2 linked regions of the Astyanax mexicanus genome follow. The protein of the gene in region 1 interacts with the protein of each later gene in a pairwise test. Links are inferred from orthologs where the notes say so. Each region holds a gene or a part of one and is shown on either strand. Other genes may lie near its edges.

Evidence for each region.
Region 2: the proteins of npat (region 1) and histone H4 transcription factor interact in a two-hybrid assay, tested with the Homo sapiens proteins (2 studies listed by BioGRID). The link is inferred for Astyanax mexicanus from reciprocal best matches to the Homo sapiens genes NPAT and HINFP.

The regions. Positions count from the first base shown.
Region 1 is NC_064425.1:15,325,303-15,338,187, reverse strand, and holds the start of npat (protein NPAT), read left to right. Parts: upstream 1-8,166; 5' UTR 8,167-8,358; coding exon 8,359-8,395; intron 8,396-9,632; coding exon 9,633-9,751; intron 9,752-9,942; coding exon 9,943-10,003; intron 10,004-10,082; coding exon 10,083-10,161; intron 10,162-10,283; coding exon 10,284-10,324; intron 10,325-10,437; coding exon 10,438-10,647; intron 10,648-10,845; coding exon 10,846-10,921; intron 10,922-12,304; coding exon 12,305-12,419; intron 12,420-12,667; coding exon 12,668-12,759; intron 12,760-12,872; coding exon 12,873-12,885. Other genes in the region: hif1al (hypoxia inducible factor 1 subunit alpha, like), read right to left, coding at 83-167, 1,549-1,703, 1,804-1,994, 7,024-7,043. UniProt on the Homo sapiens protein: Required for progression through the G1 and S phases of the cell cycle and for S phase entry. Activates transcription of the histone H2A, histone H2B, histone H3 and histone H4 genes in conjunction with MIZF.
Region 2 is NC_064408.1:15,313,494-15,326,749, forward strand, and holds the start of histone H4 transcription factor, read right to left. Parts: upstream 5,584-13,256; 5' UTR 5,474-5,583; intron 4,064-5,473; 5' UTR 4,026-4,063; coding exon 3,863-4,025; intron 3,493-3,862; coding exon 3,263-3,492; intron 2,024-3,262; coding exon 1,924-2,023; intron 1,767-1,923; coding exon 1,614-1,766; intron 1-1,613. Other genes in the region: dpagt1 (UDP-N-acetylglucosamine--dolichyl-phosphate N-acetylglucosaminephosphotransferase), read right to left, coding at 7,757-7,822, 8,687-8,839, 8,965-9,052, 9,634-9,822, 10,035-10,119, 10,337-10,483, 10,778-10,991, 11,474-11,594 and 1 more. UniProt on the Homo sapiens protein: Transcriptional repressor that binds to the consensus sequence 5'-CGGACGTT-3' and to the RB1 promoter. Transcriptional activator that promotes histone H4 gene transcription at the G1/S phase transition in conjunction with NPAT.

The sequences.
Region 1 (12,885 bases):
TTTTTAATTAGCAATGAACAGAATTGGGTAAAAAAATAATTTAAGCCTTATTTAAGCATTAATATTAAACAAACTATTTTACCTGTTTTGGAAGTGAGAATGTCCCTCAACTCCTCCTGGTCACAAGGGTGGACAAAGTCATACACGCTCTGTCCAAGCAGCTCCAGCTAGAACAAGATATCAGAAGAAAATCAGAAATTACCCAGGAGTTTCATTTTATCATGACAACAAATCATAATTTTTTTTATATATTACAGTACTATGGCTTTCCATTTGCCCTCCTGCTACGTAAAACCTTAAACAAATCTATAATACACATTTTCAAGCAATAAAATTCTACTCTTTGCATATTGCAAAATTACAATGTTGCCATATCACCCACTTCTGCTTAATCTCCTTTCCAAGAAAAACCTTTACACAGAATTTTTAAATCCTTAATTGAACTGGCAAGTGTTAAGTCCTGGCAAATCCTGTTAAAGCTGATGCAGCAATTATTCTGCAGAAGAAATCATGGGAAAATACTGGGAAATTACCCAGAGGTAACAGACACTCATAAAACAGTAGAACACAGACATGGAAAGACTACACAATGCTATGATTTTTACAAACAAATATGTCTTGAGTGAAAATATCATACAAATGTATTATGTACGTGATTCTAGAGAGACATGGTAAAACACTTGCATAGTGAGAGAGGGAGAGGGAGAGAGAGAGCAAGAGAGAGAATACCCAGTAGAGCAAAAGGTTTCTTACAATATTCAGAAATAGAATGCAACAGGATTTTAAAGCAAGTATAAACTTGGGTATCCAGGCAAAACAATAATCAAGGGCCTTGTGTGTGAATGGAGCAGATCCCAAAGGAAAAATTATATGAATGAGTTTCAGGATGTTTTAACATATATATTTGGTTTGCTCTGGTCCGAATCAGGTAACATTTAAAACTAAAAGTGCTGTCCCCTCATAAAAAAGCATAAGAAAAATCATTTAAATGAACCCATTATCGGATTAGTTTACCAGCAAAAACTAACAGAGTCCGATAACTGGACTAAACTAGACTAAAGGTGCAGGTGTGAAAACACCCTTAGTCAGCTTCACTCAGCAACACACATGATTAGTCTGTCAGCCTGATCTGAAATGAATGTAGGCCATGTGATTGGGTTTCAAAAACTATTATGCTCCATCACCACTCAAGTGAAAGGCCCCCCACTATATCCTATGTGTCACTCTAGCCGTCACCCTCATGTAACTCTGAAGTTCATCCAACACATCCTTCTGAACAGCAATAGGGTGCAGCCAAACTTTTTGAAAGAGTGTCCTTGGCCTCAGTGAGTTGAGAATGTGATCTCAGTAGTCCGGGAAGCGCTCCAAGTTTGCTTGCACGCACAGAAATGTGAGCCAGTTTAAGACACAGAAGGGCAGGCCTCGTGCGGCCCCTGTGTTTACTTAAAGTATTTATATAAGTGGGAAAACAAATGCATCTCATCACGTTACCTCCAAAGTCGTATACATTCCACAAAAGAGCATTTTTAACCAAAGAGCTGTGCTAACCTGAGCAAGGCCGATGTACTTGCTGACGTTCTCCGAGAGGAAGATCATGTCTCCTTCTTCAGTCAGGACCAGAACAAAACCAGACAGTGCCTGCTGGTAGAACGCATCAGTAGGATCCTGTTCTTCCTCAGTGCCTTGCTCCACTTTGGTTGTTGCTGCAAATTAAGCATGTTAATAGAACAGCAGTTTAGCTAATACAAAAAACTCACACGATACTTAGAAAAAGATAATGTAATGTTTGAGGATTAGCCTTACAGGAGCAGAGGAGTTGGCGCATACGCAGGTAGCTGAGGGTCACTCTCATGATGCCGGCTTTGTCGAGGTGGGAGGTGACCCGGCGCGCGAGGGGCAGGGAGTGGGCAAGTTCGTAAAACACCTCAGTCTCCTGACTTCGTCTGCAGCGTGCCGCATCACGCGAACGCACCTTCCGCAGGTCAGAGCTCGGCCTGGCAAGGAGAGGGACAAAATAAGCTTGACTTAAAGAAAGTTCAAGTTGAGACAGACACAAAAAAAAAAAAAACATCATCCCAACATCAATAGAAAAGGGCCTGGCTGGCCAACATGAATACTGAGTCATTTTAGAGAACTTACATATGTTAAAAGTACAACAATTTATATGCAACACCATAAAAACATTGTACATTTGTAAAGTAAATAGCTAACTGTGTATCCGAGTAAATATTTCACCAACTCCTTGTTAAACTGCAACAGATTAGGTCACATGAGAAAAAATAAAAGTAGTTATGGTGCTCCTTGAACTGCAAAGATTCTATGGCATAATTTAAGCGTCATCTTTCCAGAAACCAAACCTTTCCACACACACACACTAGCCTTGGAAATTAAATCAAATTCAGATGTTAACCTATAGAGCATCTGTGAAATACAGTTGGATTTTATATACACTTAAATATAAAGTTATTTAAAAAAACAAAAATCAGTCATAAAAAGCCATGAAAAAGGCCAATACAAATGAATCCCCTTTAGCACAAATATCGGATTAAATTATGAAATCCAAATTGGTGAAATGTGCTCTAGAGTGTTACTAGGAACTCGCAAAAGCAATAAAAAAAATGTTTTGTCTTTTTTACACAAATCCATCCATGAGCAAAATCTTGTTCTTCACAACAAATGTACCACAAAAACAAAATACCACACAATGAAGAACGAAGCCACAACCATTTGTTTTCCTGGGTTCCTGGATTTCTCTGAACATTTTTCTCACAAGAATCCTGATGTTACATTGCTGTAGATGTGAAAAAGATTGGTCAACACAAGAAGGCCAAATCAGCTCATCTTACTGAGGAAAACAGCCTCCATCTCCTCTGTCCCTTCCCCCACATGCCTCAGGCAGATTGGCGGGGGCTCATGCTGTTCTGACCTCAGAGCCTATTCTCAAGTCCTTTCTTCCCCGGAAGATTCAACTATGACCCCTACAAGCCTTCCTGAAATTCCAGCTCAACCCTAAACAAGCTCCAGGGCTCAAACAGCCATGTTTATAGAGGAGTCATGTTCTCTTATTCTGATTACAAAATACAGAGGGTCTGGTCTCTATTCTAAATGTTAGCCACGTGTACAGCACGTTCCCAGTTGAGGGCAGTTTGCATCTTGTTTTTATAGGCGTGTAAAAGTACATCCAAGCCTGAAACAAGTTTCACTGGGGATTATTATGAAGAGAAAAAGCTGTTACACAATTCAAGAAATGTTTGTTCCCTTGTCATACAAGGCAATAATTAAAAGAACATTTCAGACATACTTCTACAATGACATTTCAGGTATGTCATAAATTGAGAAATAGCAAAGATTTTTATAGACATCCAAGTAATTGGCATCGTCATCTTGGTGGTTCTCTTTGGGTAGTTCTCTGCAGTTTTTGCTAAGTAACGTTAAAAAAACCATTAGCACCAGCTTGCCATCAAGCAAACAACCGAAACAACCTCTCAAACCAATAAGCATCTAATTCCTTTTCCAAATAAACATCTCAACATTCCAGCAGCAAGAAGTGCTGAGGCCCTTGAATGCAAAAAAAAACACAACAGGGGGCCCAAAAACACCCACCAGACGTCAGTAAAAGCTTTATAAATTTACACAAAATTACCACATTTTTAGGAGCCCATATAAAATGCATTTTCCGTTTTTAACAGGTCACACCATTTTCATCAAATTAGTGAGACTCTTTTTGGTTCATTAAGTACCTACACCAAAATGTTTTGTTTGTGGATGAGAAGACATTGTTGATTTGAAGGTGTTAATAGCTTCTGATTTTTTTGGTCTATTCTCATGGACCAGGTAGGACAATTTAAACTATGAGAGCCTCAACAACTCCCAGAGCAGATCCAAAAATGGCTGAACCACACATCAACAATAACAAAAGAAGTAGCATCATAGAGCTCATCAGCACTTTTATCTTTCTGTGCTTTACTATATCAGTTACAAAAATCACAATACTGTACGATTTCTAGCTGCGGACATGTGGGAATTAAGAAGAACAAAATGTAACATAACACAAAATTCATCAACTAATAACACCAACAATCCAAATTCCATTGTGGGACGTAAAAAAGGAACCTTTTGAAAGTGGTATTTTTCAATAATAGACAACTTAGGGACTCTCAAATCAGCTTACCAACTGCTGCATTTCCTGCCTAGGATGTAGCTTGCTATCTTGTACTGCGATCTTATGAAGACATAACTTCATAAACAAATTCAGAAGAACGTGAACAGGATAGGATATCCTGTGCAATGGCTGAATTATTGTCACTCATAGGGAAATATTACAAACCAATTTGACAAATCAATCCTAGATTAACCTTAAACCTTAAATCAGAATAAGAAGCCAAGAAATTCACAAACCACAGTAAAGAAGTGATGTATTAATTACAAAAGCTAACATTTCAATGATTAACTAATAGTCCATTGTGCTGCCCTTGTGCTATTCTCAGTCTAAAATGTTAACCATGTTCTAAAATAGCTCCAGGGAACTCTTCAGAGGGACAGAGGTGGCTATAAATTACACAGGACGAACTTTATTGACCCAGTCCTCCGTAAAGCACAGCTAAGCCAAGTGGCCTCAGGGAAGGAGGAGATCATTGAAACAGAATATACCTGCAGAACTACTTATAAACAGGCTTCATTTAAATGTGTGAGGCCTTCAGCTCACAAACAATGGTAGTGCCCTAATTGCTTAGAAACATACAACAACAATACCAAATAATATGAGCCATTTCATTCGAGCTGGGATTAGATTTTCCGAAACCTACTGATGTAATTTCTGAACTTTATCAGAAATAATAAACACTTTAGATTAAGCCTATTCGTTGACTATATTTTCTTTTCAATGGCAAATCTCCATTCAAAATGATGTGCAGTCCAAGACTAGACTTGCCCTCTGTCTGGGAAAATTCTTACTAAACTAGCAAAATCCTAGAAGCCAAAAACAGCTAAATAACTAAAGGGTTCAAGCATGTACAAAAAATAATAATAAATAAATAAATACATACTATCTATATACAGCCCATATATAGAAAACTACATTGGAAATCCCAAACAAATAATTGAGAAAGATATTCTAAAGATTAGAACTTTTCACGATTAGTATTATCAACATTAAGTACAACAAAACTCAAAGACAATGATAAACTAGATGACACTTAATGTGAGATTGGCCAAATGGGTCATCTCCAAAGCTTGTTCAGTACTAAGTGGTTTAAAAGGATGTCTTCAGTTCAGGAACACAGTGTCCAAGCCCTTCATCTGGCAGCAATCACTGCTGAGGGCCCTGTGTCTAAGTGGGAGAATCAAACTCCTCAAAGATTCAACACTCAATCTTCCTGTCAGGAGCGTTTGTTCTCTGTTTTCACGCTTATATGTGTTGAACACTTCTTGGACTGGATCCCATGTCGTGCAAAGCGGATGAGCACAATTGTGTGGGGGGGGGGTGATCAAATGTGTTAGAGGTTCAACAGTCTGCAGCCAGTAGACTGCGCACAACAAAGCTGCAGCGGTTTGTATGAAGGGAACACCATGTACTCTGGAACAGCGTCATCACTGGAGTACAACGGGCCCATATCGGCCAGTAAACACACCTCCAACCCCCACCCACGAGAGCATAATAATGCAAGACATCATAGTTGCCCTACTAAACAAAATATGTTTATACTGAAACATCAAAATATTTGTGTTGATCAGTTCTAATAGTTCTAACTATTTAAATGTCCTTATTACTCCAGAAAGATACTACACTTTTGTGCACAGAGAAGAAAGGGAAAACATTTAGACAACTTCATATCTCAACTATCTATAGCTCAATATAGTTTAGTTAGCTGAACTTTTAGGTAATCAACTGCTTAAATATATTGAATATGCCTGAATCAACTCCATAAATATTATTTTTCTACCTTGATTCTTCATGATTTAGTCATGTAGCTAGCTAAGAAAAATCAGGAATAGCTAGCACGTTCTGCAGAATTTTAATGTTAAGACTCAATTCATCAATACGTTACCGTATGTTCCAAATTATATTTTATAACATACCTATCTTAATACTTTAGCACTTATGTAGGTTAGGTTAGTTAAAAAAATTATAGGTTACCTAGTTAACTAACTAGTGAGTTCAGATGTTAAAAGTATTTATTTACTATTTATTATTTGGGGAGATGTGTAAGGCGTCCAAACACGAAGTCGTGTGCACATGGAAGAAAGCAGGCAGCCCATATAGCTAGTACCAATGGAGCAAAATAACATTTAACTAGACACGGTTCATTAATTGATCACCACGTGTTTACCTAACTTAATATTTGGAAAATATGATAAAAATGACGTCCCTAATTTTATTCTCTAATATTATATTTACCCATCTTGATACTTTAACACTTATGTTGCTATGTAGGTAAGTTGGGTGTTATTTATAGGTATATTTTATTTAAATGCCTGCTGTATTTTAAAGCAATTTTATCAGTCATTTATCTTACTTAGATAGCTAGGTGAGGTAGTTAACTAGGGCAGTCAGCTGTATAGGTTTCTTTTCGCAGTCTCCTTGCTGCTGCTTTGTTTTCAGCTATACACTCTTAGCTCAACACCCCATTCCACACTCTCGCTTTTTTTCTAGGTTAGTGTCCCCAATTTGCTTAAATAACCCAATTCACAGCTAGCTAAATATCATAATCACTTTAGTAGCTAGCTATACACCTTCTTGTTCACTTTTAACACGAGACATGTTTAGCTAGGCTAGATTTAACATAGAAGAACACAGTCTACAAAACACCGGCAGCAGGAGCAGCACACTGCAGGGCTGTGCAGAGACTGCTAGTTAGCGCTATGTGAGCTAAGCTAGGCTAGGCTGGCCTGTTAGCTTTAATGAGCTTCCCGAGTTAAGCTAAGCCTAACTGTATTACAAAAGAGGCACTTTCTCTCGCCATATCCACAAAATAACACAGCCATGCTGTAAATAAGAGTTGAATTAAAGGTTTACACTCTCACCTTTTAGGCGAGGACTCCATCCTGACCCCGTTTGGGAACCGAATTTCAATATTCCGTGTTCAGCGGCTAATACCGAGGACGGTTTCTAGCCGTTAGCTCCAGCTGGATCTGAGCGTCGCCTTCAAGTTGTTTATCTCGATAGACGGAGGAGGAGGAGGAGGACGCGCTTAAGGAGAATGGAAGCGCTCGGGCCGCCTATCAAAATAAAAGTCACTCACGAACTTTCTTTTATGTGAATGGACGTTGGCACAGTATTTCATCACTACGTACATATATTTTTTTTTTAAAAGAAGAAAACACAAACAAAGTTCAGATAACAATCATTACAAAAATACAAACAAACATAAAAAAAGAAAAATGATTCATATAAAATTGAATATTTAAGATATTTAAGAATTTATGATATTGTTTATGTTGAATTTGTATATATGTATATGTATCGGAGGAAGCATGTGCTAGTCTTCCCACACCTGATGTTGGGGCATCATTAGTGATAGGGGTAGTACTAATAAGTTGGTCATTAAAAATATACAATATATATATTGGAAGCATTTCATACGTAGGACTAAAATAGGCCCACGTGATATAGATAATAATAAAATCTTTCCTGGAATTATCTTAAACCCCATATGCATTTTATGTAAATGTTTTGTTTTGGGAATATAAACACATTTATAAACAAAAATAATAATTATTATTATAAATATGTTTGCTAACTGAGAACAGAAGAATGTACATGTGCATGGACAGCAGTCTAGTAGATGGCAAGATAGTATGTTTTTTTTTTACTTTCAGTTTACTTTAATTAATAGAAGACCATTTTTCTAATTCTTCAAAAGTTTGAAATAGACAAACATCCACCTTTATAGTCGTAATTCTGTTTTATGAGTTTATGATAGGTTAATAATTAAATTGTGTTTTTTGTATTAGGCAACAATAAGTCTGTGATTAAAGAACACAGTTCCTTGAAAAAATATAACTATAGCGTCTCCTGAATTCGAAGAAATCTCAGATCACATTTATCCATATTTACAATGTTATTATAAAATATCCAGCTGCAAAAAAAAAAACAACCATACAAAAAAAGACTCATTGTTAAAAAAAACTACATTTCCCCTTTTGTTGTGTCTGTGCACTACTACAACATCCGGGTGAGCGAAGCCTTTCCGCGCCTTTTCGCTTTATGGACTCTTCGAGCTCGCTTAATCTTTAATGATAAATAAACAATAAAATGTGTTTTAGTATCAACTGTAGTTACAGAACGGTTGTTAATGGTATAGTCTTATTTTCCAGATAATTAATAGCACACGATAGCTGCGTAATTAGTAGATAAACATGCTGCTACCTTCAGATGTGGCGAGACTCGTACTCGGTAAGTTCAGACAGACCTTTAGCAATAGTTAAACCTCGCTAGGTTACACGCCTCGTCTAGGTTACTATAGCTGCATTAGAAAGGGTAGCTAAGCTAGCTAGCTAACTGGCTGTGTTTATCAGCAACCAGCCTTTAAACCAGCGAATTAGTGGGGTTAGAAACTGTTGGAACTTGCAATATGTTGTCCAATGCATGACCTTACCAGATCACAATCATGGCATTCGCAAGTTGCAAGCTAATAAAACCATAGAGCTGGACAGTATATCAACATTGTATCGTATCGGGATAAATCTTCTTATCATATCGACAATAAGCATATCGAGGGCATCATCAGTAACACAATCAGAACACCGACCCAACTGTACATCTCATCTATTAATCAAAGATATTGTTTACAATCCTGTTTAATTGGATGATGTCCAGCAGAAATTAAATAAGATCACTGTACTGTGGATGAAAGAGCATTTTAATAGCATAATAGCAGAATCTGACACTGCTGAAACATTTTGTCTGTGTCTGATAAATTGATAAATTCTGTGTATTGCGGAAATTAGGGGTGGGCGATATGGCCCTAAAATAATATTACGATAATCTTGGCAATATGATAAAACACTAAAGTAAAAAGAATATTTTCAGAAAACACTACAGCAACAAAATGAAAATTAAAATGTATTATTGCATATGAAATGATATGGCACACTCCTACTTGAGACATTAAAAAATAAGCATTGAATCAGATTTGTAACAGAAGTCATGATACTAATAATAATAATGCACTCTAAGTATCTCCATATATCCAGGTTTAAAGTAAAATGAATAATACTGGACAGATATAATCTGTCTCTAGTAGATATATAATGGGAAATGAAAACAGTGGGATTTTTTTCTTTTGCTAAAAACAGAAAAAAATGTAGTACCCTGATGTCACAATTAGGGGTGGGTGATATGGTACTATATTTCAAGGTATAATATCGTTCATGATATTCAAAAATGTTGACGATATTATTGCGTACAGTACGATATGGCACACTCCTAATGGAAATGTCTTTATATGTTGTGATGTAGTATTTTTCCCATGTTACCCTCCTCTATTAATGCGCGGTTATTTACATATCAATAAAATTCGAATGAAATTAAGAATGACCTATATTATGATGTATATTTTTAGAACCGTACACTTTGCATTGCTGTGTTTTAAATGTGGCTAAGGTTAGAGATTGTCTCTTGTTTCTTGCAGGATACCTTCAGCAGGAAGGACTGAGTTCCACAAGTCGAGCATTTATACTGGAAAGTCCTAATTTGAGGGAATATGCTGAACACAGCTCTGATGATGGAGCTATCCCTGCCTGCGTGTTTGTACGTACAATACGTTCAATTTGTTTGTTTTTTTTAATTCATAACCAGAAACATTGCATAAATTGGTCAGTATGGCTCTGCTGGCTGGAAATGTAGCTGTAAACTAATGTTACTGTTGTCAAGACATCCCGTATGACTTTGTCTTTTCATTGCTTTGATTTTATTCTTATCTGGCCATCTTATTTTTGCAGTCTCTTTTTGGAAAAAACCTGACCACGATTTTAAATGAATATGTTGCTGCTAGAGCGAAAGGTAGGTACTCTACAGGCTATACAATATTATGTAATGTTATAAATTTGTAGGCGTTGAATTAGGTTTGTGTTTCTCACAGAAACATGTCAGGAGAATCAGATACCAGCCATGATGACATCTTTATGGAAAAAGCTGGATTTTACACTAAACCAGATAAAGTGAGTCAAAGACAGGCTGTTTCTTTTTATGTTTTGTTTTGTTCAGACTAATCTCTATAATGTCTGATATCAACTGCTCCTTGATAATTCTCTGTTAATCTCTGTTATGTGTATGTTTGCAGATCGATGCAAAACTCTCCTGCTGTTCAACAAATACAGAGACGTAAGTTGTATGACTGTATTTGGCTCTTAAAAACTGTACAGATAAAATGAGCTGCTTGTTGTTTTCTCTGAAATGTTTTAAGTCAATATTAAGAAATGTTGTTTTGTTAACAGTCCGAACCCAGAACAGCATTCAGAACAGGCGATGTCAGAGAAATCTGTCCACATCTCAGACTTCTAGCACAGAGGGTCTGTCAGTATCGACTCCTAGAAACTGTGTTGCCAGTCCAATCGCAGCTCCTCAGGGCATGCTTGGACACTCCACCCCAGTTTGCTACACTTCCCAGCAGACCAGACCCTCAACCCTAAGCCTCTCTCAACCAGGTAAGGCAGAACAAATTTTTGATTTTATTATCCAGTGACTTTACTTTTAAATTATATCTTTGATGGATCAAACCTGTGCTGTCCTTTGTTCATGGCATCCATAAATTACATCCAACCGCAAAGGATGTAATTTATTTATTAAATGCTTCAGATTGTTCTGCTCCTCTTATTCTGTATGGTTGTTCCGGTTCTTCACAGGAGACTCAACTTTACAAATAATACTGCCTGATCAAAGATTTACCCCAGGACCTCTCTCTCCAGCACGCAGGAAATGGTATGAGAAACCTCTTCATTAGGGATGCACTGATGTGGGAATTCTAGGCTGATGCCGATATTACATATGTATATAACTGCCGATGCTGATATACACATTTATAACTTACAAAGATGCTGGACACCCCACTGTAACCTTTGGACTTTTGGACCTTTGACCAAACATAAAAATATATAAAAGGTAGCTTAAATAAATGGATTTTAAAGTAGCACAGCCAGTATCAGCCAATTGTAGCAGTGCGGCCGGTGTTCTGTCGAATTGTCCTACCTTGTCGAACCGTGCTGCCCTAATGTATATTTAACTGTAAAAATTCAAAAGAAGCATTATTTTAGGGCATGTACCCCGTGAAATTCCAGTAGATGTACGTTATTAGATTTATTAGATTGCATACATTGTTGTATCCTGGCAAAGTTATGGCAAATATAGCTCATTACAATCTGCTTTTATATTTATATTTATGATAATAATTGTAATGTTTAGTTTCCATGTACACTTTTGTGCAATGACAGTGTGTCCAGGTTGTTTAATGCACATACACCCCCCTAAAACAGATTAATTATAAATAAAAAACACAATAAATAATTCAATTGTCTAGGTCAGTGCATGCGCAGTACCTTTGGGAAGCATGTATCGATAGGTAGGACAAATCGGTAGAACAATGGCATCACTTGGTCTTTTTTCGGCTTACAAATATTGGCCATATCATTCAATATAATTATGATATTCTTACATTTTACACAACATACGTTGACCAAAGTGCTGCACAAATGCAAACATTAAAATACAGTACTATTAAAACAGTTAATAAAAAAAAACAATTACATGAAAGCCATGGTGTAGTAATGAGGTTTAAAACTGGATTTAAAACACAATAAAGTGGGTGCCAATCGAATCTGCAGCGGCAGCTCATTCCACAGTTTTGGGGCACCCGCAGCAGATGCTCGGCCCCCCCCTCAGTTTCAGCCTTGTCTTGGGGATCAAGTGCCAGAATATAAAGCACAAGCAACTATGCTAAATAACTGGGCGCTAATTCATGCAGAGACTTATAAACTAAAAGCACAAGTATAAACTGTATTATAAAAACAATTGGGAGCCAATGGAGTAAAGCCAGTATTGGAGTAATGTGTTCTCTCTGGGAAGTACATGTTAAAAGCTTTGCTACAGCATTTTCACCAACTGTAACTTAGCAACCAACGAGTGACCAGAAACAAAGTACAGTGAGTTACAAAAATTAGAGTCTCTAATCATACTTAATATTATATGAGTACAGATACTGGAGTCTGCATAACTTGGCCCATAATAATACTCAGCTACTATTAATACTGTGGTTAACAACACACGAAAAAGTCTTGACAAAAAACTGTTTTGTTTGTGCTATTTCAGTGACTCACCTAGGCGAAGGGGTGGAGGCCAGAGTGGAACTAGTAGAAGCTCTGCAGTTCCCAGCACCCTCAGTGTGGAAACACAGAGCCAGGAGGCAGTGACCGAGAACTTATCTGTGAGCTTTCATAATTTTTTTTGGATTTATGCTATTGCCAGAGTTTGTCATTTTAGAAAACACTTCAAGGATAGGCTTTGTGGATTAGTAACTTGAAATAATTGTGTATTAACATTGAAGAATAAGAATTCATCAGAAAATCTTATAAAATCATCATTTTAATTTTTAGATGTAAACAAGTTTACGTGTAATCATTGTGTGATTGTATTGTGTAATTGTGTGGCTGAATTAGTTTTTTCTTCTAACAGCAAATGGTGATTGAAAATGCACGAGAAAAAATTCTCAATGACAGATCCTTGCAAGAAAAACTAGCTGAGAATATCAACAAAATCTTGGCAAGGTAAAATAAAAAAAAAGGAAAAATATTTATTAATATGAATGCATTTTTTAAAAAGCATATTGTAATCATTATTTTGCTGCAAATCTAAACTCTAAAACCAGTTTTCATGTTAGCAGTGATAACAGC
Region 2 (13,256 bases), on another chromosome or scaffold:
CCCTGCCATTGGACTGTGGAGTGTAAACACGTCTGTCTGGCAGCCTGATGGACGAGTCTGGGTTTGGTGAATAAACAGATATAATAAACAGCCTGACTGTATTGTACAGACTGTAAAATTAGCTGGAGGAGGAATAATGCTATAGGATTGTTTTAAAATAAAGGGAAGCCTTAATGACTAACAAACCTAAACATTTTTGGTACCTGAATGTGGCCAACATTGTGAAAATAGTTTGGGGGAAGAGGCTTTTCTATTTTAGTGCCTAATGAAAGTTTACAAAGACATGGGTGTGCGGTTTAGGTGCGGAAGAACTTGACTTGTCTGCACAGACTCTGGCATCTCATGTAGGGCTGCAATGATTGGTCGATTACATAATCGGCAATGTTGATTTAAATTTATCGACTACAAATTTCAGTGTCAACTAACTGTTAATAGTACTGTTAACAGTACTGCATTACACAAGTGCTGAGGACAGAAGTGCAATGGTAGATGGGTAAATGGCTCACTCGCACAGTTTACAATCAACTTAGTCTGCGTCTCCAAAAGTGCCCAAACACATAGGATTACATATTTAATCACTAAATAATCAATCCTCTCCATGTCCATGCCTGAACATTTAAATGCCTTTTAAATCTCATGTTCAGCTGTTTCTATTGCTTTTAGAGCTTTTAACTGTTGTCTAATCGACTAATCAAAAAAATAATCAGATTAGTCGACTTCCAAAATAATCATTTGTTGCAGCCCTAATCTCATGATACGATAAAAACACGACCATGGCAGCAGTAATATCACAATACTGTGATTCTCAATATATTGCAATACAATTCTTTACGATACTTCACTGCATCTGTGTATCTTAACAGGACAAATACTCCTAAACAGGCAAATAAAAGGAATTATGGATATATTGGTGTCAGTTTCACAGAATTTGACATCCAATATTCTTCATCGCAGGTTTATCCTACCCAGGTTTAGTGTCCTCATGTGGAGGAATGAAGCAGCAACCTTAGTAAGCCAATGTTTCTATAAAAACATCAATATTTGATGCTGTGTGTCAATCAAAGAATCAATATTTTGTCCCACCCCTAATTTAACCTTATTGAACACCACTGGGGTACCGTAAACTAGAATGGGGACTGCAAGGCCTTCTTTTCCTTGTATAGCATCATCAGAGTCTGACCTCACAAATGATCTTCTGCATAAATGAGCAAATCTGCATCAGCATCTGACACGCTCTAAAACTGTTAAAAATCCTTCAACAAAAAAGTGGAAGCTATTATAGTTATAAAGGGGGACACTCCATATTAATGCCTATGGATTTAAAATATGATGTCATAAAAGCTACTATCCATATGGTGTATATTACATACATTATATTCACAGGATTTAATGTTTTAACTTAGGAGTCAATATAGTTTTATATGGTGTGTGTGAAAAAGAGAGAGAGAGAGAGAGAGAGAGAGATAGAAAGAGAAGTAATAAAAAAAAAAAGATTATGCTATAAAAATGCGTATGAGGCAATACGTTACTAGGCAAAAGTTAATTATAAAAAGACAGCTGCTGCTATCTCACACATTATATCAGTTCAGTGAACCCATTCGACCTTTCCTCACCCTCAATGGAGGTCTGGCGTCGGATATGGTCGAAGAATTTTGTGTTGTTGGCAAACATTCCGCCACAGGTTGGACACGCCACCAGCTTCTCCTGAGTGTGACTGCGCATGTGTTCCCGTAACTTAAACCGGCCCTTAAACGAGGCCTCGCAATCTAATCAGATAAAAGAAACACAACAAATATGATTAGACCTTAATCTTTCAGTTCATGGGTTATATGGAAGACTTCTTATGGCACCACAATAACGAAAAGAAAACATACATTAATTATTTTTTTAATAGTTATATTGTTGTGAATTATAACCACATACCTTTCCAGCCACAGAACAATATGCTCTCCTCGTTGGCCTCCAAACAATGTGCATGCATCTCTACATGCCTGTAGAACCACTCTGGGTTGTCCATGTTAGTCTGTAAAAAAAACTTTATTACCATTTAACCATGACGTCTCAAAATAGCAAACAATTTCCATAAACAAACAATCTTACAATTCACAGGAACATATTTCAAGTCAAGACAAGTCAAGTAGTTTTATTGTCAATACTGCATATGTACAGGACATACAGAGAATTGAAATTACGTTACTCTCCTTCCCAATTTTACAGCAGGTCCAGATAATAGATATAATAAAAGAGAATGGGAGACACTATGTGTACAATACAGCAGGGACACAAATAGACATACATGAGACAAGAACAAGGTGCAGTAGTGTGGGGGAGAAATAGATATATAAATATAAATAAAAAAAAGAAATAGATATATAATATAAAAGAGTGGGAGACACTATATGTACAATACAACAAGACACAATAAACATACGTAAGACGGAAGACAATAGTGCAATATTGATGGTGATTGAGATGGAATGACAGTATAAATAATATATAACAGTAGTGCAAATGGTATCTGGTATATAGCTTAAGGCTGGTAAAGTGAATGAGTGCGTAAAGTTCCTAATCTAGTTAAGGATTAACAGTAACACACTTGAAAGTCCAGACGACACAAAGGTCGTTGTCTTTTTTACATTGTGTAGATTTGATCCGATTAGTTTTGTTTCACACTGCAGTTTAGAGAGCAGACTAAAGAGCTTGACCACATCCTGTCGTCATCATCTACTTGGGCGGAGTCTCTTTACACTTTATACTAATTGATTGGCAATTGATTTGCTTTGCCAGGTGTTGTGTGAATTCTAGCTTTCTGTCAGCATTCGATTTTTCTTTGCGTACACCCCTTCACCCCACAGCAGAATGAGTGTAAAATATTGTCCTCAGATTCCTTTTATTTCTGTTTATAAGTAAGAGTTAATCTACTGAAATTAATACCCAGTTTAAGCGTTTGTGTTCATACTGTTGACTCAAATTTCAAATTGTCAAATTTCGGCACAACATAAATTCTTTTTCCTTGTTAAAAGTTTGTTAAAAGTTTGAGTCTGTCTGACTCAACCTCCTGAAATTGATCTAAAATTCTCGATCATCTAGAAAAGTGCTTTCACACTGCTCTTCTGGTCAGACGAATTCTGGGCCCTTGGTCCAGACTGTGCTTGCACACCCGTTTACATCTTCTACTTTGGTTGGAAACGAACTGAAAAGTGCAAAAGTGCAGACCAAACAAGCTAGGTGTAAAAGCCCCTGTACACACAGAGTGTTTTACCTCACAGTGTTCCCACAGGCAGAGGAAGCTCTCCTGGGTCTCAGGGATAATGTTGCGGTTTTGGAGGCCAACCGAACAGTTTCCCATTTCTGGATGGCCTTTGAGAACGGCTAAGCCCCACTGCTTCAGCTTGGTGTGGTAGCAGTGGAAAAACATGTGCCTCAGCAACTCTCCAACCAGCTCCACAGAGCAGAAACCACAGTCCCGCCAAAGACAGGTGAGAAGCTCTTCTGCAAAATTCACAAAAAATGCATCAGTAAATAACCCACACCAATTTAGGGTACAGATACAGTGGATTGCAAAAGTCTTCATACCCCTTAAACATTTTCAAAAATGTTCATCTTACAACCACAAACTTAAATGTATTTTATTGAGATTTTAAGTGATAGACTAACACAAAATACTACATAAGTGTGAAGTGGAACGGAAATAATACATGGATTTAATAAAAATTAATCAAATAAAAATCTGAAAAGTGTAATGTGCAAAAGTATTCAGCCTTTATCAATACTTTGTGGAGCCACCATTTACTGCAATTACAGCTGCAAGTCTTTTGGAGTTTGTCAGCAGCCCGCCCTGGCTACAATAAAGCGATCTTACCTGTTGCATCAGGGCATTCGCTCTCTATAGCTGTGTAATGTTGTTCCACATGCTGACAGTACTCCTCCATCCCGTCAAACGTCTCCTGACACGTGCCCCACTCACACGCAAGCTCCAGCGTGAACTCCTCACGGCGCGGCGCACGCTTACTCACAGGAGCCATAGTGCGGGACTAACTGAATGTTAATCTTGGCCAAGTGTCTGAAACACAAAAAGGCAACACACGCTTAAAAAACACAGTAAAGAAAGTCATCACTTCAAAGCAGTAATGGTTTTATTGGTTAATTGCTTTCAGACATATAGACACAAACACACACACACACACATGCATACATAAAGGTGTCATAAGTATTCACATTTAAAAATACTTCTGTAGAAGCTAAAGTATCAACAAAAGCTTTTTACTGAAGTAAAAGTACTGGTTTTAAAACTATATAAAAGGTACTACTTTAAAAGTACAGAAAATTAGACCACCCTACAGGGGCCTATACTGCACAACCAAACTCCTCAAAACACATTTTTTCTAAAAGCCATTATCACTACAATGTAAAAGTAGCTAAATATGGGATGCACTAGGCTCTTTGTTTCAGCTGCATATTTGCCTATTGGAAATTAATGCATTTTAGTACAATGCAATGTTCTCCTCCACCAGTCTTACATACTGCTTTTGGATAACTTTTTGCCACTCCTCATGCAAAAATTCAAGCAGATCAGCTTGGTTTAATGGCTTGTGATCATCCATCTCCCCCTTGATTATATTCCAGAGGTTTTCAATGTGGTAAAATCAAAGAAACTCATCGTTTTTAAGTGGTCTCTTACTTTTTTCAGAGCTGTGTATTAAAGAAGCTTAGTTAGGACTTTTCACTAGAGGTCATTTGAGTTTCTGCCACAGACATTAAATCACCCATCTCAGTTGGGTTTAGCTCAGGGGACTGTGAAAGCCAAAAGTTTTTTTTTACTTGTTTACTACGCAACTCCATTTTATAATATTTATCTACACCTGCCTGATTTTGTTTAAATAATTATTGCACACTTTCTGTAAATCCTATAAACTTCATTTCACTTCTTAAATATCACTGTGTTCGTCTGCTATATGATATAATTAACTTCTTTTAAATTGCTGATCCGAACAACCAATGCTTTATAAAGAAAAAACATAAATATTATCAGGGCTGCTCAAACTTTTTCACACCACTGTAACCTATCTAACTTCTTGCTTAGGTAGTTAAAGTTGTCTGATTAAAGCGTTGCTTAGATTAAAACACAGCGAAATATAAACAATTAAACTAGCTAACAGTCAGATAACTTATTCTAGAATTAATTAGATTCATGTATACTCATTTATACACGTTAAGAGTCACAGTAAAGCCTCGGAGAGACAGTCTGCTGAGTTAGTAATCTCTAATTACTCAGAGAAACAGTCTTTAAACCTGAGCTGATAGCCGGTTAGCATGAGCCTCCAGCACAGCTCTCAGTCTGAGTCTGTTCTGCGGGTTTACAGTCTTCAGGTTAAGGGCAGAGCTCTACCTCCACTTTGGGCTGTGCTCCAGTGTACAAACTGTGTACAATAAGGTGTTTAAACCGGATTAAATCGGGAGAAATGTGACCCACCTCGCGCCGCTGGTCTCCGCATCTCCTCTACGCTCCTGTTTCCCACAAAAACAAACGAATCGCCGGAGCTCCGCCTCTCCGGCCCGCAGCCAATCAGAGCATCCCGCTCATTCCGCCAGAGACGGGCCTCCCCCTGAACACTCAGATCCTCTACAGGGTTCCGCTCCCGTACACAGCTCACTGTTTACTATTCACCAGCATATACAGGTATGTAATTAAAAAATAAACAAAAACTACTTCCCCACTACGTCCCCACTCTCTAACTGTAAAGTTTACCATGAAATATAATTATTAAAATACTTCCGAGATTTGTCTCCAAATCTCATCTATATAAAATTATTTTCATAATAATACTTAAAATACACATTTTAGTTGTGTCCTGGGTTTCACTCAGTCCTGTTACCATAACAAATTACCCCAGCTGAAAGATCTGGTACATTCTACAAGTGTCTGCATGCTATTAGCATAACCTTTAGCCCTTTAGCTATTTTTCATGTTTTTGCTAATTCTATGCTAAAAACTCAGTCCTGTTACATATACCATAAAAGGTAACATAAATGGTTTATAAGTTAGTTTATTAATGTTTATTAATTAGGTGGCAAATATATTAAAACCCAATAATAAGCAGTTAATATATAACATAAATAGAAATGGCGACAGTGAGCTGAAAATTAGCAAAGTAGTAATTCCACACTCGTTAATAGTCAAACCACAGCTCTTTCTAGATACTGATTTTACTTTCTGCCATATTAATATATTTATAAGTATGTTTAAGTATTTACCATAAATTAAATGACTAAGTTGCCACTGTTGCTTTTTTAACTGATGTGTTTTAACTGCTTATCAATGGTTTTAAGGCATTTACAACCTAAGCAATTATCTAATTTAGAAATAATCTAATTTACAAACCATTTATAAATCAGTTTAAAAATATTTAACTTATATATATATATATATATATATATATATATATATATATATATATATATATATATATATATATATCGTCGCTGTCCAATGAAAAACACTTATCTCCATTTTTGTCGATTTTTAGATTTCTACATAATCTGAACAGACAAACTGTCCTTTACACTTTGCCAAAATTTCTTGATGAACGGACCAATAGAAACTCTTCAAAATGACCTGAAATAAACTCTTTTTACATTGACTTCTATTGAAAGTTTACAAGTTTTTTTCTCTCTCCTGTAAAGTTGCTGTTTTGGAGATAAGTGTTTTTCATTGGACAGCGACGATATATACCCATAATTTGTCCATTTTAAATAATTAGGAAAATGTGTGTATTTGTACCAGCACAAGCTAAAATTACATGATAAACATTACTATTAATAGCTGCAGTTCAGGAAAATTTGTAGATATTTTATATATTTTATATTGTGTAAAATACTTACCTCAACATTAATTAGCTAGCAGTATAAGAAACAAACAAATTAAATAAATTTAGACGATAAGTTCAGTTTAAAAACATTACATTTTATTCTGAGCTCTCTATTAGGAGAGTTGACAATACTTTCTGATACATTTCTGGTCCAGTGTCAAACTGATACGTGTCCATCACAGGCTCAGTTTTACATTGGTTGAAGAAAAAAAAGAAAAATATCTCTATATAGCTTTGTGCTGCTTGGCATTTAGGCTACCAGGCGACTCAAAAATCTCTGTCCCTGCACAGATAAAACCTCGAAAACTACCCAGATTCCCAAACTACATTCCATTAAACCAGAATTTAGAAATGGGAAATAATGTTTTACATTTACGTCACCTACAGGTTGTTTACTAAGTATAAAAGTTTACTGCAGGCATAAAAACTGTAAAGGTAAAGTATTCAGTGGTCCTACCTTTTTATTTACTTGTTTAAACTGTTACATTTTCCGGGCAGCTTTTCTCTGAAATAGCAGTGTTTCTACTCAAGTATGATTCTTCAGTATTCCTTCTTCCACAGCACTACAGAGTTCTGATAGTCAGGTATTCGTGTATTGCATTAAAACCGGTCAATTGGTTTATTTTAAACATATTTTACTTTGATTGCTGCCCTGAAGCCCAAGAGGACAGTAAATCTCAGATGAACCGATGACACTAAAAGGCTTGCAGAAGTGTTAACACAGTAGTTCAACTGTACAGAACTGTAAACATTATCCTTATATGAGTGGGACATGAGAGGCAGACTTGCAGTCTTTCAGAATCATCCCTAATCAGTTGTTAGAAGCACATTTAACGGGAGGTTGTAGTCCCTGCCCTTCTGTCGTCCGAGTGTTCTGTGCTTTAGAGTTAGACATCATAGAACAGTCGAACCAGGTGATACCGGATTCCGAAAGCAATCACACTCCCCAAAATCTGTGAATGACAGGAGAAAAAAAAAAACATTTAACTAAATCAAGAAAACACAATAGGTAGAAAGGTGTGAAAGCAAACATGAAATCTAAAAAGAGGTGAAGCAGTGAAGTTCACTTCAATATTTAGTGTATCCGCTAGATGTACATCCATAACATAGGTTATCAGAGCACTGCTATATAGAAATCTGACAGGGAGAGACGAGTCAAGTTTGAATTAATTTTGACATCCAACTCAAATAAATTAAACTAAGCGTTTAGTTTAATTTAGCATTAGTTTAAAACCTCTTCACAAACTGTCTGTTTTCCAGCTGAAAGACATGAATTAAGGATACAATGAGACTAAATTGTAGGTAGGTGAGGTAGGTATTGTGGAATAAAAATTAAAATTTCAAGGCTTTAATCCAAAAGAGCAATTATTATCTAAAAATAAAAACAGTAAAATAAAATAAAGAATAAAATAGACCAATAGACATACATATAAATAAGAAAATTAGAGAAAGTCAAATAAGTGATAAATGTATCATTACTATCCAAGCCCTGAACAGCTCATGTTATTTAGGCCAGAAACATTCATTGTAAACACAAAGGCTCAGCCAAAAAAACAGGGCCCTGCTGTACAGGACTGCTACACTGCTAAACCTAGTCTGTGTATTTTAAAGTGTCTGCATTCACGTCATCGCTTGATATAAACAAACACACATAAATGTCTATAACTATGATCTGACTAATCTGACTGTGATACAATGGTCCCTTTGGTCTCAAGTTTGGGTATAAAATATTGAGATTCAGTTCAACCCTGTACTATGAGAATAGCTTAAGATTAAATCAGCTCATTAAATACAAAGGCTTAGTTGTGCACTCATACCTGTATTAAGAGCATGATGGCTGTGAGGTTTCTCTCATGTGTGGGTCCCAGTATCTTCAGCACCAGGTTAATTAGAGTCATGTTATTGCACTCAATAAACTCATCCCCCTCCTGACCCCTGCGCACATCCAGCAGCCATAATGCTTCTGCCACCTGCAGGACAAAACATGGAAATGTAGCTTTTTGTTGAAATAATCATTTAGCTTTAGTTAAGACTTATGCATCTCTATACTGTTAATATTATGCTCATTAACTGTTGATACTATATCATACTTTACCTTTATCACAAGCTGTCCTAATTTGCCAAGGTCCTTTGGTTTGAACTTTGAGTAGCTCATGCCAAGCTTTCCAGTATCTGGCTGCAATCTGTGGAAGGATGCATTACATTTGCATATTAACACCACCTTACCTGTCTAGGTAAGAACATGATGATTGTAAATTCTAGGTCATATTTAGCTACAAGTGAATCATAAAAGTGCAGAGTCTCAAAAATGTGCATAAGAATAACAACTTTTGCACAATTTTGACTGATGTGTGTAAAAATAATGTCTATCCAGGAAGGTGAATGTGAGCATCAATTTGCTGCAACTTGTAATGAACAATTTACTCATTATTATTTAGAGTAACTTTAAGTTTAGGATGCAATCAGTGAAGACTAATAGGTTAAATAACTATTTTGTATCAATAGTAATTAATAGATTAAATATGAGGTGATTATGAACTCAGAATTATGAAGATATTAAATTGTATTTTTTCCCTAACAGATACATAAAATGTTAATGGCATTATTGTGTTACTGTTCCCAAAGGGTCATTTTATGCATGATTAATCTGGATAATTTTTACTATGATATATTACTATGACATTAATGAAACAGAGCTTTCGATTAGTTTTGTAGCAATTTGGATTAACTAAATGATTTATTAGAAATGTATAAACAGGACTACCTGGGCAAGCGATGTCTAGGACAGGGGACTATGTGGAAGAGCTGTGGCAGAGAGTAGATGAAGTTTACGACTTGTGGGATGAAGAAGAGCAGCATGGTCTTGCTGAAATGACCGAGAATGCCCACCACAGCGAACGTCATCCCGGCAAAGTAACAGAATGTGTCTCCTACAAACACTGAAGATGGGTACCTAACAAATGGGCAAGAGCGAGAGAGCTCTTAATGTATGGAAGAAGTCCTGTTGACATGCTTTGTGTTAGCACATTCAGATGAGAGACACTGTGGCAGTTTTCTGTTTAGTCTTACTCTTCTACAACAAACAGGGAGTTATGCTGTGTCATTATCACTTCAATGAGGTTATTATAATAATGTATTCTCAATAGATATGTGCATCAAACAAACCAGTTGTGGTAGAAGAGGGCCAGCGTGGTGAAAAAGAAAGGGATCATGAAGTACAAAGAGAAAACATGGTCATCTCTGTAGTCTCCTGCAATGGAAAAGTGGATGTTAGTTAAAAAATTTTTTAAATGTGTTTTATTTAAAACATACTGGTCATTAATGAGTTTGTGGGTTTTATAATAAATAAATTGTATCAGACTGCAGAGAAGATGCTTTTTCCCATTGCAGGAGAGATTGTGCATAAAAGAAACTCTAGCTCATGATCTGCCAACTTTCATGTTCTCATAAATAGATCCTCAACTCACCATTGAGTTCCAGTATATTGAAGATAATGATGGAGCCAGAGATGAAGAGGGCTTGTCCCGACTCAATGCCATTGATGCCAGCAAGGATGTTGATGGCATTCGTGCAGAACACAGCTAGCATGCCCATATATACATAATACAGGATACCTGGGGGACCAAAAAAGGGCAAAAAGCAGTCTTAGATACTCACAAAACCTCTAATCTTAACAGCTCTTTCAGGGTTTAAATATACTTAATATTAGTCCAATATATCAGACATTTGTATACAATGTATGCTGTGAGACTCTTATCCAATCCCAGGTATACATAATTGGGGTTCAGAAATAATAAACAGAATAAAATAGAACTGAATCATTAATAATATATTATATAAGAACCTAAACTAATTCACAATTGAATTTTTATTAGGCTTTTAATTTATTACTCCTCAGTCCAACTAACCCAGATCCAGATGCATCCCTAGCAGGGCTCGGAACGGTTTGGGCACCACTATGAGGGTGTTGCCAAAGTTGGTAAAGTAGACCATGAGCAGAGGCAGGGAGGCCATGGTGGGCAGCAGCAGCTTGTGCCTCCATCGCAAGTTCAATACATCATCAGCAAAACCAAGAAAGATCATGCAGCAGATGGCAAGCAAGGCTCCAATCAGCTGCACAAACTGCATCAAAAAGAAATTCTTTAAAAATATATTAAAGCACAGGCACAAACTACTTTTATATGCAATAAAATGTACTCAAACATTTTGTAGATTTTTTTTATCTAAGGATACTAAAAGTGTTTCCCCACCCTCTTTGCCAAAACAATACTAGAAAGACTTTACACTAAATACTGCTTTAAAGATTTGATTGCATTAGGTCACATAAATCCAGGTACCAAGTAGGATTCTTATTTTTGTCACTTCAACTCCTTCTCAAATGTGTTGTAAAATACATAAAGTACAATTTCTGTAGTTTCTAGAATATAAAATGGCTGATTATTCTGAGCTCTTTTTAAATACCTTCCCATACTTATCTGTATCCAGTTTTCCACAAGTCTGTAAGTTCTGTTTGTTCGCTCACTGGGTGAAAGGTGGGCAACACAGGCCAACTGTGGGCAGCTCTGCTTTAAAACTGTAGTCAGACATTTTGTTCAAGCTCTTACCTCATTGTGTGGGAAACTGCGACACTGCTCCCCCACAAAGCAACCGAGGAAAGGCACTGGGATAAAGAGGAAGAGGATGATGAGGAAGACCGTGCCACTGATCACTCCTTGGGACTCTGGCCTAAAATAATAAAACATAAGATAAAATAAGATTAATCTGTGCAAACACTAATCATCTACTAAAACTTAGTGTGACCATATTTTCTCTTTTTCTGCCCTGGATTTCTGAATATTGTAGAATGTTTGAGATTTCACAGTTATTTCAATCCACATTTGATTCTACAGTCACCTAGCACACACTCGATATGCATGTATGTATGTTTTTAAAAACATGCTTAACACGGGATGTCTAAAATGTTCAATAAAGTGTTCAATAAACACTTTTAAACTAGTTTTGTTATTGCTTTTTCTTTGGTGTTCAGTATTCAGCCTTTGGCCAAATGTTTCATTTTGGTAGGTTTTGGCCAAAAATCTTGACTTTTTTTCAAACTGTATTAATATTATACACAGCTTAAGCTTAACATAATGTCCACCTTGTTTCCATATAGGAGCACTCTGTAACTGTATAATTACCATCTGTAGATGGTCTGCAGATGGACTGTAGACCACCTGTTTTTCTGTATACATTATTATCCACCTTTTACCCTGTTCATCAATGGTCAGGAGACAGGACCCTAAAGGACCACCTCAGATAAGCTAATATCTGTGTGGTGGGTCATTAATTCATAGCACTGCAGTGACACGGTGACATAGTGGTGGTGGGTTAGTGTGTGCTGTGCTGGTATGAATGGATCTAACACAGCAGTGCTGCTTCAGTTTTTAAACACCTTAGTGTTTAACCAATCAGAAATGTCCGGCCAACAGCATATTGTTGGCACTGTGCAGCAACAGATGTGCTTGGAGTCTTGGATTTTACATGGTGGAGCAGCTATAGGAGTGAAACATACACACTGCCACGGTCTTAAAAATACCATATCTCCCATTACAACACCCTAACCATGTCGGATGCCTGTGTGTTCCTAGTTCTGAAAACTAAATTAAAACTAAATTTGACTGTCCTATATCAAGATGGCCCAGGAGAAAGTATGCCCTTGATATTTTAATGTCTCCCCAGCTCCCAGCACACCTGCTCAAACTAATCAAGCCATTAGCAGTACTGTTTTAGAAAAAGCAGATCAACAACAATACTAGCTAATGTCTACTGTAAGGTGTGCATCCACTAACCAATAAACAAGTTACAGTAGAAAAAAAGGCAAAGTTGTAAGCATTAATTGCCTTAATTCACAAATAAAAGAGGAAAAACTCACACTTGTTCTTTTTTGGTTTTGTTCAGATCCAGGCCAAAGAGTCTGGCAGATATGAAGTGCTCCTTGAAGGCTGGAATGAGCTTGAGTGTTGCAATGCAGCCCAGAGCAGACATGCAACAGTTGATGAAGAGGGGGATAGTGGGAATGGGAGACATTCTGTATAATATAGATATATATGTAGCTAAAATATTGCTGTATATATTAGTGTGTTAAAGCTAACTATTTAGATTAGCTAGGACGGACGACTCTAAACCGTGTAACCCGTTTTAGAGGAGTTAAAAGTAGGTAAAGCTGTGTTTGGTCAATGTACAGACATTTTTATACCTACTAGCTACCTACTAAGTCAAACTATTGACTTAACAACTTCAGTTAATATGCTTATGATCGCTAAAGTCGACAACTTTAGGTCTGAAGACATCTTAACATTAATTATGAGTTTGAAAACGATCTAATTTGCATTTTCTTTGCTGTGAAAA